Notamacropus eugenii: one gene and its partner. The protein of the gene in region 1 purifies or fractionates together with the protein of each later gene. This does not show direct contact. Links are inferred from orthologs where the notes say so. Each region holds a gene or a part of one and is shown in the gene's direction. Other genes may lie near its edges.

Region 1 (7,986 bases):
TGGGTCTCTGCTTCTTCCTATGTAAAACAGGGGTGGGGAATGAGTAGAGCAGATGACACCAAAGGTCTGTCTCAGTTCTGGCATCTTGTGAATCTCCTCTAGGAATCCTGAAAGAGGCAATTTTTTCCTTTGTTGTATATAGTAAAATGACCAGCAGGGGATGCTGGACCCTAAGAAACCACCATCATTTTTTTCTCAACCAGCCAACTACATAGTCAAAGAAGTAGGAGAACCATGTCCAAAGAATGAAAAGCAGCAGGTGGTCAGGGCTTCAGACACTGCTGAGCTAGCAAAGGAATGTGCCTGACAAAAGGCGGAAAGGCCAGATGGGTGAGGGACGTGAGCCAGTAAGTGCTATTAAATTGTTCATTGAATTGATGTATACACTAAGGTAGGAAACTACCCTGCAGAGGAAAAGACCTCAGGACTGGTCGGTAACAACAGGGCCATATTCAAATTTCTGGTATCTCATTGACATGCTTTATAACTTAATGTGGAGGAAAAATTATAATAATAATGCCTCACAACCCTTCTAAGAGATAAGCAGGGTTTATTCTCCCTATTTACTTGCAGATAAAGAAACTGAGGGCTGGGTCAGCAAAGTGACCTAACAACATCACCTTGGCTAAATGACGACAGTGAGGATTAGAACCCATGTCTCCTGTCTCTCACTTAACCCAGGCCTCTTTTCACCAATTGGAACAGATGTGTAGGATTTGTATGGATAGAATTCATCTGCAAAGGTCTGAGGGATTAGGAAGGCATTTTTCAGGACAGGATCTGACAGAAGAGAGGTGTCTCATTTGGGGTAGGGACAGGGATCATCTGGAGCCAGCTCAAACCTCCTTGGAAGAAATGATTGTTAAAATTTCAGTGTAAGCATTTGAATCTTGAAAGTCTATAAATCAGTCTTTCACTTTATTGCTTCATGGATTGTTTAAAGTCTAGATCTAGTCTAGCCCTGAGTCCAGTCTCTAGACTTAGGGAAGTGATAGAGAAGTATTAATAGTTCAGTGCATTTGCACTTAATAACTATGGCTATAGCCAATAGTTTGGTACATTTTCAGAGTTGTTTGCTAGCAGGTGTCTGGATAGAAGGGTGAACTTACAGAATACAAGCTCTATGTTTTTATTCAAGTTAAGTTGGTGTTAACCCATCTGACTTGGTATCTGGAAGTCAGTATCTAATGTCCAGATGGACAAGGTAGGGAGCTGCAGAGGAGAGGGGTGTGAGGATTTGTCTGGGGGGTGGGAGGGAAGAAAAAAGGAATCATAGTTTATATTTCCATAGGATTAAAAAATTTTCCATAAAGCTTGCCGCTTTTATCTCCTCTGACCCTGCTGTTACTCTAGAACAGACCTTCATTATTTCATACCCAATAGATTCCTGGTAGGATTACCTTCCTATTCCAATCCTTCCTCCATTCAGCCACCAAAGGGATTCTCCTAAAGAATTCCTTATTCACTCCCTTACACAATAAACTTCAGTGGCTCCCTATGGCCTCCAGGATCAAATACAAAATCCTGTGTTTCAAAGACCTTCATAACTAGCTCCTTCATACCTTTCCAGTCTTACTTACTTACTTTCCAGTCTTACTTGTATGTGTTCGTCCTTCATTGCCAAAGAAGACCATGCCATCAGAGAAATAATGACATCACTTGCACTTGACTTTGTTTTGAGTGAGGGAGGGCTGTGCAGGTCACCAGCCTCACTTCTCCTCCAGAGCCATCTGAATCCAGTGATTCATCAGGATGACTAGAGATGACCCAGGATGAGGCCCTTGCCCAAGGTCACACAGCTAGCGATTGTCAAGTGTCTGAGGTGAGATTTGAACTCAGGTCTTCCTGACTCCAGCACTGGTGCTCTATCCACTGCACCACCTTGCTGCCCCTCCAGTTTTACTTAAACCTTCCTTCTAATACACACTCTTCTCTCCAGTGACACTGGTCTGGCTATTCCACAAATAAGACAATCTCTCTACTCTAGGCTTTCTCTCCAGCTATCTCCTATGCCTGAAAGGCTCAAAACTCCTTAACCTCTGGCTTCCCTGGCTTCTTTCAAGTTCCAAGGAAAATCTCACCTTCTACAGGTAGCCTTTCCCATTGCCTCCTGATTCTAGTGCCCTCCCCCTATTAATTATTTCCCATTTATCTTGTGTATAGCTTGCTTCTATATGGGTTTTTTTGCATGTTATTTCCCCTTTAGATTATAAACTCCTTGAGAGCAGGGAGTACCTTTTGCACCCCCAGTACTTAGCATAGTACCTGGCACATAGTAGGTGTTTAATAAACGTTTATTGATTAATTGTTTAACTTGCTTCACAACAACATTGTGAGATAGGTATTATTATCTCCATATTACAGAAAGAGAAACTGAGACCTAGGGTCTAAAAAGTTAGTGATAGTATCCATGCTGAAGCCCAGATGTCCTGGCTCCAGCCCTGTGCTTTTTTTTAAATCTAATTTTTTAATTATTCTGAACTTGACAAACACCAACCAACAACATGTCTGTATACGATATAGCAGAGAAGATGATTGTATTTGAGACTGTGTATCTCTATTACATAGTTGCACCTTTAAGTATACAATAAATTGAACACTGTGTTTCAAAGCTATCCTGTTTGTATCTTCTTCTGAACTTTCTCTGTTCTCTCCTCTGGGTATTTTTTGAATGTTTCAGTGGTACTACCTTCTTTCTTTGAGATCAAATCCTACTTGGCTTTTAAACCCTCAAAACCTTCCTACTTTTCAAATCTTCTTACACCCTACTCCACTCCAACTGCCCCACTGTCCTTGACAGTCCTATGACACTGGTCCCCTTTATGATCCTCCACAGCGAGGCGGGGCTCTCAGGGGAGCATTAGGAAACGCAAACTTATAAATACTTTCTAGGTGCTTTACAAGCACTCTCTCATTCCAGCAACTCTGGGAGTGGACAGATAGAAGTCCAAATGACTTGTCCATAGTCACACACCTAGTAAGCATCTGAAGTCACGCTCGAACTCAGAATTTCCTGACTACGTGCCCAGCACCCTTTCCTCTGATCCGTCTAGCAGTTTCCCATCTCTCAACTCTATTTTCAGTGGCCTGGAATTCTCTCCCTCTTCATCACTGTCTCCAGGCTCCCCAGCTTCCTTGAAGTCTCAACTCAAATCTTTCTTCAAGAGGCCCAAGATGCTGACTCTACTCCAGACACCTGGCATTTTGTTGGTTCAGTGAACACCCATGCCTGGAATCTGGTCTCTCTTCATTTCCCCCACCTGGCTTCCCAGCTCTATCAGAGGCCTGCCCTGATCCCCCTTAGCATTAGTACCCTCTCTGGTGATTATTTATTCTGTATATATTTATTTTGTATGTATCAATTTATTCTATATATCTGTGTGTATATACATATATATGTGTGTGTATGTATGTGTGTATATTTGTTTGCACATAGTTGTTTTCATGTCATCTCCTCAATTAGGCTGTGAGCCCCTTGAGAGCCTTTCTTTGTGTCCCCATCACTTAGTCATTCCTGGCCCATTATAGGAGCTTAATAAACACTTGTTAACTCTTGGCATCACTATCAATTGCCCCTTCCTCCCTCTCCCCTCTTCCCCCCCATATTTTTAAACCCTCCCTTGCAACATATAATCCCAGCCAAGCAAAACAAATCCCCACACATTGGCCATGTCTGGAAATGTCCTTCTCATTCTGTACCTCTAGTCCATTGCCCTCTGGGCCAGGGTCTAGGAAGCATGCTTCATCACAGTCCTCTGGAGCTCAGGTCTATGAACATTACTATGTTCATAGGTCTTAAGTCCCAGATCACTTCCCATCACACCCCTTTTTCCCCCAAGAAAAGGAAGTTAGAAAGCGTGGCTTGGAGTAATAATGGGAAAGAACTCAGAAGGAAGGGAGGTTAGGCCTCGGAGTGGGGAGGGAGAACCAAGGGGAGCATGGTCAGCATTCCTCATTAGGACTATGACTCAAGCTCTAGGCATGTCAAGGGGTGGGACAGGGAGGTTAGATACCAGAACTGGGCTATTAGCCCGCTGGCAGAAAGAGTAGTGAGGACTTCACAGGCAAAAGTGGAGTCTAGTTGGACCCTGGAGTGCCCTATTTCTAATACACTCCAAAATACCTGTCCTGACTGGGGGCTGGGGTGGGAAAACTAATTGTCACCTCCTCTAAGACTGATCAGAGAGCTCCCAAGGATCTCAAAGCACTAAAGCCCACATCCCTGATGGAAGTATCCTTTTTTTTCCCTTCTAGAGTTCTTTATTATCTTCTATTTGCCCGTAGGAAGGCTTCTCATCCCCTACCCCCTCCTGCTTTTGGTATGTCCCTGTTTTCCTTCTATTCTCCTCCTCTAATATTTTCTCTAGACTAACCCTACACTCCACCCCAAGGCACATGCCTCCCTGTCTTCCCAATACCTATTTCCCTCTGACTCAATCTCCCCATTTACACCCCCTGATTGACATCTTTCCTCTAGGGGTTGAGAGTAGTTGCTAACCAAAGAAAGGAAAGTCTCACAAAGAAAGGATAGACCTCTAGACAGCTCTCATCTGCTCCCACCTATACTACTTACCAGTAGCCTCCTATTGGGAACTGATTTGCTCTTGTAACTACCTTGTTTAAATTTTCTCAGAAGTGCTAAGAAGTCTGTGGAGGCAGGTTTCTTGTGTCCCAGAGATAATCTGGATGTTTCTCTCCCCCCTCCCCCACAAAATAAAAGCACCTGTATGCTTCTCCCCATCTCCAAAGCTGGCCAGTGTCCACAGGGTTGCTGGCCCAGGCAGGCCTGGGGCAGCTGGGCTAGGAGGAGCCCCTCCCTCCCATTGGTCTGACACCGAGCCAAAGAGAAACTGATCTTCTGGTGGGGGCAGGGAGCCAGAGAGCTGGGGCCCAGAATAGTCTCTGCCACAGCTTTAGTCAGCACGACACTGGCTGGATGCAGCCTGAGCAGAAACACACCCTACACTGGGTACAGGGGCCCCAGGGAGGGAATAGAGGGAATCTGAAGGGACAGAGGGTGGGAGCCAGCTGCAGTCCCTCAGACTCGAGCAGCTGAGGCTTGGGTTGCCATCCTCTCTTAGCCTTTCACCTTGCCTTCTTCTCACAGCCTTCATCTTGAAACAACCATGTGGGACATGATGGAACAACCAGGTGGGTAGGAGCTACTTGGCCCCACATTCACTTCCCACATCCCTCCTCTTCCCCTGCCTGAAATTCCTCTATCCCTGTTACCTTATCCCTATATCCCACTATCTTTCCTTGCTCTCCCTTTCACTGTCTCCTCTTTTTCCTCTTTATTCCATTGTTACCTCCTCTTTTTCCTTCTCTTCCTTCCATCTTGTCTCTTTTTCACTCATCTCCTCTCCCTCTCACTAGCTCTCTCTTTCTCTGCTACCCAAGTTCTATTTCCTCATACAGAAGTGAGCTACTCAGGGGACAGCCCTTCAAGGCCATTTCCTTGCATGAATACCAGCCCAGGGAAGAGCTATGATGACCAGGGAGCCAAGGCCTCCCAGTGGATAAGGCAAGAGGCTGTGGAAGAAGGAGACTCCCCTATCCTGGAGGAAGGAGACAGCCCCCAGGGTGAGGAATGGGCCTATTGGGGAGAGAGAGGAAGAACAGTTGCAGTTTAGAGTGCCTCTGATTTCCTGTAGATGCAGACACTAGAACCTTGTCATGATCTCAATGCTTTAGTTTAATCTTCTGAGATGGCTCCTGGCTCTGTGGAGGTCAGAAGACCTGAGTTTTAGCCTCAGTTCTTCTGCAAGCTTGCTGTATGACCTTGGGCAAATCTCTTCATATCTCCAAACCTCAATTTCCTCAACAACTTAGCAACTTAGTTTTCTCATCTGTAAGATGGAAACAATAATACCCAATGCTTCATGGGATTGCTGAGGGGACAAAATAAGAAAGCTACTGGTAAAGTAGAAAGCATTGGATAAATGTAAAATGTTATCATCATCTTCCTAGCAGGTGTCCTGGCAAGGCCTGAGTCTGTGTCTACCTCCTCAGAAGATGTATCCCAGAGCCAAGCTGCCACATTCTCAGGATCCGATTCCATTAGCTGGGGCTTGGAAGCCATAGGCTTGGACTCCACACCCATGTGTCCAGGGCTCACATCTATATGTCCAGGGCTCACATCAGGGGCCATATCCCTGGATCCAGAGACTTTATCAGTGGGACAGGAAGGGGAGATTCCAGGGAGAGTGACCAGAAGTCCATCACCACAGATCCTCCTGCCCAAACTGGGCTGGGACGAAGAACTGCTCCACCCAGAAGCCCAGATCTACATGCACTTCATGCAAGAACATAGCTGCTATGATGCCATGGCTACCAGCTCAAAGCTGGTCATCTTTGATACCATGCTAGAGGTAAGGGTCTTCCTGTGCTCCCTGAAGCTCCAAACCTACACTCAAAGGTCTTTCTAGATCTCCCTGGGACCCTATAGCCCCAAAGCCATAATCAAACAAAAGCATCCCTACATCTCCAGACCCCCTGAATGCGTCAGACACCCGTCTCACTTTGGTTCATAGGTGCTTCCCTGCATAGCCTCACCAAATTCCCTTGGTTCCTCCCTTCTAACTCCCTCCCTTCCCTTTTCTACTATAACCTTCTAAATCAAGGGTGGGGAACTTATGACCTTCTAGGTCCTTGAGTGCAATCTTTTGACCAAGTCCGAGGATTTGTTCTGTAAAACTTGGATCCTGTCAAAGGGCTTTACTGGAGGACCTAGAGGGCCACCTGTAGCCTCAAGGCCACAGGTTCCCCACTCCTGGTCTAAACTTTCCCTCGACTTTATGTATTATTCCTTCCTCCACAATACATACTCACCCCAACTTCCCCAGTGGTTATAAGTACAAATGGAGAAATGGAGGGGGAGATGAAAGTTGGCTACATGAGTAGTTGTAAAAGTACAGGAAGGACCTTGCAAAAAAATACTTAAATTCAACAAGGGTGTATTAAGTACCTACTATGTGCAAGGCTCTGTTCTCAAGGAGCATGAGACCAGCACAAAGAGAAGTTCTGAGCTATGCTAGGTGAATTTGAGTAGGAGTCCCCTGGGACCTGAGTCAGGAAGGAAGGAAGAGGTCTTGTAAGAACAGTGAGTCATTAATAGATGGAGGTCATTCCCAAGCATGGGCAAGATAGTAAGCAGAAGCACACAGGAGCCGGTCAAGAATGTGGAAGAGTCATGTAGTTTGCCCAGGGCAGACTCTACAAAAGAGAATAGGGTGATAAGACTGTTAGGACTTATGGGTTAAAGGCCTCAAATGAATGTCAAGATCCTTGACCTGTAGATGGAGCAGTAAGATTAATGTTCGAGATGATAGGATCTATCCAAGCAACAACATCATTTCTTCCTCTTTCTTCCCAGATCAAGAAGGCCTTCTTTGCTCTTGTGGCTAATGGGGTACGGGCAGCCCCTTTGTGGGACAGCCAGAAGCAGAGTTTTGTGGGTAAGTAAAAGTCTGTGAATGGGAAGGGAAAGGTCTTGGTGAAGATATGTAGGGGAGCACCTACTGGCCAAGGTGGGCAGACATCAGGAGCATTCAGGGGTCTCTTCAGTGGAGCTCTGAGGCTCAAGTCTTAGCTATGTCATTTAATACTTGGGCCATGTTGACAAGTCACATATCTCTGGGCCTCGGTTTCCTCATTTACAAAATGAAGGGGTTGGAATGAATGATCTCCAAGGTCCCTTCCCACTCCAAATCCTATAATCCTTTGATGGCCTACATAGCATAGAGACCATGGCTAGATAACAGCTCAACAACCTAACTCTCCAACCCTGGGCTACGCTGAAGGCAGACCCCTACCATTCAGTTCTTCTCCCAGGCAGAGAAGGAAAGGGAGGAGAAGAAAAAGAAAAGAAGAGTAGAAGAGAAGAGAAAGAGAAAGAGGAGAAAAGGGAAGAGAGAGGAGACCTCAGGGTAGGAAGTGCTGTGAGGCTGATAGAGACTGGCCAGTGTGCTATGGGATGTCTACCCG
Region 2 (7,982 bases), on another chromosome or scaffold:
ATGGAATTTCATTTATTTATTTATTTTTAGTTTTCAACATTTATTTCCACAAGATTTTGAGTTCCAAATTTTCTCCTCATCTTTCCCCTCTGCCCACCCCAAGACAGCATGCATTCTGATTACCCCTTCCCCCAATTTGTCCTCCCTTCTATCATACCCTTCCTTTATCTTATCCCCATCCTCTCTATTTTCTTGTAGGGCAAGATAGATTTCTATACCCCATTGCCTGTATATCTTATTTCCCAGTTGCATGTAAAATCAATTTTTAACATTTGTTTTTAAAACTCTGAGGTCCAACTTCTCTCCCTCCCTCCCTCCCCACCCATCCCCACTGAGAAAGCAAGCAATTCAATATAGGCTATACATGTGTAGTTATGCAAAAGACTTCCATAAAAGTCATGTTATAAAAGGCTAACTGTATTTCCCTCCATCCTATCCTGCCCCCCATTCATTCTATTCTCTCTTTTGACCTTGTCCCTCCTCAAAAGTGTTTACTTCTAATTACCCCCTCCTCCCATTTGCCCTCCCTTCTATCATCCCCTCCCCCTTTATCCTCTTCTCCAGGAGTGGCTAGGTGGCACAGCAGATAGAGCACCAGTGCAGGAGTCAGGAGGACCTGAGGTCAAATCTCACCTCAGATGCTTGACACTGACTAGCTGTGTGACCTTGGGCAAGTCACTTAACCCCATTGCCTCATTCTGGGTCATCTCCAGTCATCCTGATGAATATCTGGTCACTCTATTCAGATGGCTCTAGAGGAGATATGAGGCTGGTGACCTGTACAGCTCTCCCTCACTCAAAAAAAGTCAAGTGCAAGTCATGTCATCATTTCTCTGATGGCATGGTCTTCTTCAGTAACGAAGGATGAACACACACAATCCTCTTCTCCTCTGCTTTCCTGTAGTATAAGATAGATTTTCATAGCAAATTGAGTGTGCATGTTATTCCCTCCTTAAGCCAAATGTGATGAGAATAAGGTTCACTTTTTCCCTCTTATCTCTCCCCTCTTCCTTTCCAGTCAATGGAATTTATTAAAGGGTAGCATCACATGGTCCGACTTGCTCTTTAGGAAGATCACATTGACAGTTGAGTGGAGAATGGACTAGAGTTGGAAGAGACTTGAGGTAGGGAGACCAATCAGAAGGTTGTTGTAATAATTCAGGCATGAGATGATCAGGGTCTGGGGTTTGTTCTGTTTTCTTTTAGAGGCAATCAGTGTTAAGTGACTTGCCTAAGATCACACTGGCACAAGTAGTTTGAAGTCAGATTTGAACTCAGGAAGATGAGTCTTCCTGACTCCAGGACCAGTGTTCTAGCCACTTTGCCATCTAGCTTCCCCCTGGAGTTTGTGCCAATGTTGTAGTAGTGTTATAAGAGAGAAGGGGGTGAATGCAAGACATGTTATAGAGCTAAAATCAGCAGGATTTGGTAATAGATTGAATATGATGGGGCTAGAGAGAATGAAATGTTGATAACACTGAGATTGTGAGCCTGGTCACTGGGAGGATTGTGGCACTCTCAATAGTAACAGAGAAGTTAGAAAGATGGAAGAATTTGATGGTGGATAATAAGTTCGATATTGTATACATCGAGTTGAAGATGTCTGTGCAGCTTGAGATGTCTAACAGGCAGTTGGAGATGTAATACTGGAGGTTAGCGGAGAGGTTAGGGTGGGATAAGTTGATATGAGAATCATCAGCATAGAGATGATAATTGAATCCATGGGAACCAATGAGATTTCCAAGTGAAATAGTGTAGAGGAAGAAGAGAAGCACCAAGTCTGTGGGACACTCATGTTTATGAAGCATTACCTGAATAAGATCCCATAAAAGAGACTTAGGAGTGGTCAAAGAGGTAGGAGGTGAACCAGGAGAGAAGTGTCATGAAAACTTAGAAAATAATATTAAGAAGAGATCGATCAACAGTGTCAAAGGCTGGAGAAAAGTCTAGAAGGATGAGGATTGAGAAAAGGCCATTACATTTGACAATTAAGAGATTACTGGCAACTTTATAGAAAGCAGTTTCAGTTGAATAATGAGATTAAAGTCAAACTGTAGAAAGTTAAAAAGAGAATGAGAGGAAAGGAAGTGGAGGCATCTGTTGTAGATGGTCTTCTCAAGGAGTTTAGCCAAAAAAGGAAGGAGAGATATAGGATGATGGCTGAGGGGGGCAGGGTGCGGGGGGAGGTGGATGAATTAAATGAGGGTTTGTTGTTTCGTTTTTAGGATGGAAGAGACATGAGTATGATTCTTTGTAATAGGGAAGCATCCAGTGTACATGGAAGACTGAAGATAAATGAGAGAGTGGGGATAATAGAGGAGGCAATGTGCTTGAGAAGATAGCTTGGAATGGGGTCACTTGTGAAGGAGAAAGTCTACTTCTTCTTGTGATACAAGGGTGAAGGAAGAGATAGTGGAAGAAGGCATCTGAAAGATGTAAGATGAAGAGAAGGGGAGAAGAGGGAACTGTTGGTGAATTGCCTTAACATTTCAGTGAAATATCAGGCAAGTTTCTTAGTTGAGAGGGTGGGGCATGGGAGAGTCATGGAAAATTTGAGGAGCGATGGAAAGGTTTGGAAAAGCTACTGCAGTAAGTTGGATAGTGAGTCAATTAGGGAGATTGCTTTGCTATAGGAAGGGCTCAGTTGAACTTATGTAACATAAATTTGTTAGTGGATCTGGTCAGCAAAAATTTGTTAGTGGATCCAGTCAGCATAGTTTTGTGATTTTTTTCCATCTTCATTTGGCAGCACATGAATAGGAGCTGTGCATGGTAGGAGTAATCCACAGCTGAGGTTTAACAGGAAAAATTGGTTATAGGATAAGAGAGTAAGGGATATGGTGCTTCAATGTTACAAACCACTTTACATGTTATCACATTTGATTAACCTGATGTCCCAATGGATTTAAAAGCTCCAATTCTAGTCTAATATTTTCCAGACCAGTTCCTCAGTTTCCTCAGTTAGATATTAGGGTCCCTTTCCATGAATAAGGTAATAGGATCTCCATAAACTTCTAAGTTAAACATGGCAAGGAAGAGCAAATAAATTTTTCTTTGGTATTTCAAGGTTCTATATCCTATATTTTGAAATATATCTATATTTCATTGGTGGGTATGCTCTCTCTATTTAAGCAGATTCCCAAACCCTCTGTAACTTAATCAATGGATTTTGAAAGTTGTGTTTGAAAAAGTCTTCACCAATCTGATGAGGATCATCTCTGGATTCAGCAAGGCTAGTCCATAGACAACAGACATATAGACATACCTGACTCTGAATAGTTGCTCTGGGCCTACCTGTGATTAAATTGATGTAGGGAATTCCCAGTGTGAATATTTCCTCCAATTGAGCTTATTGCTGATGAATAAATTCTCTGTACCTTATACTCAGTCTTTCAATAAGTATTTTCCCACAATATGACAGGGACTATACTAAGCACTGGGGAAAGGCAAAAAAAAAAATAGTCATTAGTCTCAAGGAGCTCACAATCTAATGGGAGAGGCAACATGAAGACAACAGTGTTACAGAGCTGCCTGGGAGCATTAAGAGACTAAATGATAACAGATAGTATGTGTCACAGGTAGAATTTGAATCCAGATCTTTCTGACTCCAGGCCTAACATTTTAACCTGTCTCCTATGTCACATCAATGAATTCAACTCCTAGCATATACAGATAGCCATTCATTCTGGCCAAGCTAGGTTAGCTCAACTAGGGAAATGTACTGGTAGGGAAAATGGAGTAGTCTACTAGTTGGTATGGAAGTCCTGTAGCTACCTTAGTGGGGACTCTGACAGAATTAGTTGTTAAAGTGCTGCTGTCATACCAACTCGAATCAGTGGTGTTATGACTTATAGAGAACTGGGTATGTGTGGTGCCTGCCCAGATCCTAATGAACATAAAAGCTCTAACGTATCTTTAGAACCTGACTAAGCCTCTCTGGTGTCTTAGGGATCTCATAACACTTTGCACAACTTACATTATTCTTACTTTCCTGGTGTTGGTACAACCTGAGGAGATTGCAACCCCTTTACATCTTCTCGTCTTGTACAATCCTTGTTGGTAAGACAAATCTTCCACGAAGGAATGCCAGGTCAGGGCTCTAGTTAGTTGACTTTTTATTATTATTGGTTATCTCCTTCCCTCTGGCTACATGGATGGCCAGGTCACCTCCTTTTCAGGTCATTCAAATCTTTAATGATATATTTTATGGTTCTCACATAAAAGTCATTGCTAGTAATATGATACAGTTTACTCAATTTATGATACAAGTCTTCATGTTGCCTTTTGAGTTATCTACAACTTTGATATTTCTGAAATTATGATGTTCAGCCACACAGTGGTAACTTTTATTTGTACACGTCCTGCTGCTTTTTAAAAAAAAAATGGCAATGAACTTCAAAGCACTGGATATAACTTCATTTGAGTCCTGCAGTAGGCTTGTGAGGTTAAGGTTCTACAGATATCATTATTTATTACCATTTAACAGATAAGGAAAGTTAGGCTCAAGGAAATGAAGAAATCTTTCTTTCCTAAATGTCTGAAGGACGTCAAACCCAGCTCTCTCCTGATTTCCAAGTCCAGTGAGCTTTCTATCACATGCTTCCAAGATGAGGTTTAGAAACATGGAACAGTTGAAATTGCTAAGCATATTTCCTCATAGGATAATAGGACATATTAAAATCTACAATAGAATATATCATAATCTATAACAATACATAATAATCTATAACAGAATATATAATCTATAATAAAATATTATAATCTATAATAGAATAGATTATAATCTGTAATAGAATTCTAGAACTGCTATGGCTCTTATAACACTAGGCCATCAGGTCCAACTCTTTGTTTTACAGATTAGGAAACTGAGTCCCTGAGAGGAGAGATGAACCAGTTGGTGCACTGAGGTCATAGTCACAGACCACGTGCTTTCTTCCCACCACAGGTGGCTTCTGAATAGTAGTATTCGTGAACTTGTTTTAGCTCCCCTTCTAAACTCCAAGTCGCTTGACGAAAAGGCCTGTTTATTTTTGGAGTTACTGCAGAGAACCAAAGTGGTGCTTAAAAGATGAAAGTGGAACGAACGGACAAAAAGGCAGACAGTCCCCACACCAGGAAGCCGAGGACAAGCAGCACCCAACCCTCCATTCTGTCCCGCGCAGGCGCAAAGGGTAAGCGACTGCTTCCGTTCCACTCGTTCCTCCGGGGGCCGACTTTGCTTCCGGCCGCTCAGTGCGCAGTCGCAGAGTTCGCGCCAAGATGGCTGCCCCCGTGGACCTGGAGTTGAAGAAGGTAAAAGAGGGTCTTGAATGGGAAGAATCATTCTTAGAGAGTCTGAGGGACCCCTGAGCGAGGAAGTCGAGAAAGACGCCTGGCATGACGGAGGGAAGGGGGCCTGTGGAAGCCCGTACGAGGGTCGGGCCTTCTCCGCGCTCTCTGGGGCTGTGGGCCCTTGGGGGTCGGGCCGGGCCCATCGGGCCTCCCCTTCGTGGTCCGTGCGCCGTGTTCGAGCTCTGGTGTATTCGTGCAGCCGCTGCGGCTTGGGGGTGGGGGAGGGAACTCCATTTTCCAGAATAGAAAGAGGCAGGAAGCTGTTTTCTGTCAATGATGGGGAGATTCCAAGACTGTTCGTGTTTGCACCACGCCCCTCCCCCCATCGCCATCACCGATGTTTTCAAGCACCTGGCCCTTCATTTTTAAAAAAATCAAAATACTCATTAGATCTGAAAAAAAGCCTCGAACTTAATCTGGTTAGCAAAAACACTGTAGTTAGAGTTAGGGTAGATTTCAGGAGAAACCCTGTTTTGCTACACCATGACTTTGGGCAAGTCACGTTCCTGGACTCCTTGTTTCTTTCTTTTTACAATGAGGAAGTTGCCTTCCTCTTGGCACGGGGAGAACTGGAGGAGGACGGGGAGTTGGCTGTCCTCCCCTTGGCAGAGGGAGGGAGCATGTTGAATGCATTTGTCAGTTGAGGTTACTATCAGTGGTTTTCACTTAACTTTTTTTTTTTTTTTTGGTCTCGAAGGGAGGAGGGGTTAACGGGAGGGGCGGTTCTCCAAAGAGAATGTATCATTAAAACAAAAGCATCGATAAAACTTAGTAAAAATAACGTTAAATAAAAGTAGGGAGTTAGACTAGATGATCTTCAAGGTTTCTTTCAGCTCAGAGAGGTATGGTACAGTGTAATTATAAGAACTCTGAATTTGCAGTTAGAATGCCTGCGTTTGGATCCAGGATTTAGAATTCTGACTCTAATACTTAATAGCAGTGTGACTGTGGTCCGGTCAGTTCCCCTTTCTGCTCCTTAGTTTTCTCATTTGTAAAAAGGGGATAATAATATTTATTCCAACCACCTCACAGAGTTGTCCTGAAAAGAGCATTTTGTAAATCTCAAAGCACTGTGTAAATAGGAGTTATTAAATCCTATGAATATCCGTGTTGGTTTTGCTTCTTTGTTTTACCAATGGAGCTCTTTTCCCAAACTTTTACAAGCCCCTTTGATTTTAGTAGGAAGTTCGGACTACCTGATGTTCTTACAGTACTTTCTCAGACTTTCAAGGGTTTTGTTTATTTTTATTGTTTTTTGAAGGCTTACTTGGGGAAAAAAAAAATCTAACAAAGTTTTCCCCATGAAGTAAATTGAGAAGATTGAGAATTTCTGTCTAAATCATAGCTTCTAGATATGTACATTTCCCAAAATAATTTTAGGTCTTTAGAGTACTTAAGGAGGACTATGATAGTCCTTAAAACCCAGTCATAGAATCAGAGAACTGGGAGAGATCTTAAAAAAGATCAGAGTCCAATTCTCTCATTTTATTTTGATTAAACTCTATTTTTTTAGAGATATAAATCATCTGGTCAGCCTTTATTTCTTAGAAGAAGAAACTTAGGCCCAAAGAGCTTAAATGTTTTGGCCAGGGTTTCACAATTATTAAGTAGGAAAGCCAAGACTTAGGACCTAGTTTCCTGATACTAGTGCTCTGTTACACTATACTTTGATGATATATTTAGCTTTGATGTTTGCAAGACCACATGGTCATACATTTCTTCTCTTAGAAAAAAACAATTGCTAAAAGAAGTTTGTGATCTTAAATTTAGTATGAGTTTATAGTTTACGGGAAAGAGAAGGCAGGTAGAGGTTATAATGAGCAATGTGCCTCATTCACTTTTCAGGACTTTGAATTTTTTTTTTGGTTGAAAAATAGGAAAAAATACAATAGAAATTTTTAATCCTGAATGCAAGTTAAAATTGGCACAAAGTTATTTTAACCAAGAGCTTAACAATAATTTGTTTTTAGTGAAAGGCAGTTACGTGTTTTGGTTTTAAAGTAGGCTAAAGATTTTATTTTTAAACTTTCCTCTAGTCATTTATTAGTTGGAGACAAATGTGGAAAATTTCAGGAATTAAATAATCTGGAACAGTTATGAGTGAGGGAAAACAGGGTGAGAGTGAAAGTTGAGCTATGGTTTTGCTATGCCTTAGTAATCACAAATGCTATTATTAAGGCATAAATTTGACAGCATGTGAAAATCATTCCAGGCACTTCAGCAAGAGTATTATTCATGGACGGTGTTTATCCCTAGAGTAGGGTATACATAAACAGTAGTAAAATTTTGCTTGGTATCTGTGTGAGGGTATCAAGATATGATTCCATAACTTAAAGTTTTTTTGTTGTAATAGTTATGTTCTCAACTGTTACATTTTTGGTTCAAATTTTTGAATTTTCTCTCATTTTTTCCTTGAGCTCCTATATTACTTATTGTTTAACCCATTCATTTGGCATTCAATACCACTTTTGTTATCTTTTTAATGTGTACTGTCTCCTCCACCAGACTATAACTTTGAATTCAAAGATTATCTCTAAAAGTCTTCCACCTCAGACTTTATGTAGCACTTTATATCTTTATAATTTATTTAACATGTATTATGTTATATTGTGTATGTATTATGTATAATATGTATTACATATAATACATAT

What was found. Proteins that work in one complex are often made in the same cells at the same time.
Region 2: the proteins of PRKAG3 (region 1) and PFDN1 purify together in Homo sapiens (affinity purification with mass spectrometry; 3 studies listed by BioGRID and IntAct, counting the BioPlex papers as one, with this or other methods). This does not show direct contact. The link is inferred for Notamacropus eugenii from reciprocal best matches to the Homo sapiens genes PRKAG3 and PFDN1.

Annotation. Positions count from the first base shown.
Region 1 is NC_092877.1:317,288,289-317,296,274, reverse strand, and holds the start of PRKAG3 (5'-AMP-activated protein kinase subunit gamma-3), read left to right. Parts: upstream 1-4,947; 5' UTR 4,948-5,126; coding exon 5,127-5,151; intron 5,152-5,418; coding exon 5,419-5,583; intron 5,584-5,970; coding exon 5,971-6,371; intron 6,372-7,375; coding exon 7,376-7,457; intron 7,458-7,986. UniProt on the Homo sapiens protein: AMP/ATP-binding subunit of AMP-activated protein kinase (AMPK), an energy sensor protein kinase that plays a key role in regulating cellular energy metabolism.
Region 2 is NC_092872.1:367,773,340-367,781,321, reverse strand, and holds the start of PFDN1 (prefoldin subunit 1), read left to right. Parts: upstream 1-4,918; 5' UTR 4,919-5,259; coding exon 5,260-5,292; intron 5,293-7,982. UniProt on the Homo sapiens protein: Binds specifically to cytosolic chaperonin (c-CPN) and transfers target proteins to it. Binds to nascent polypeptide chain and promotes folding in an environment in which there are many competing pathways for nonnative proteins.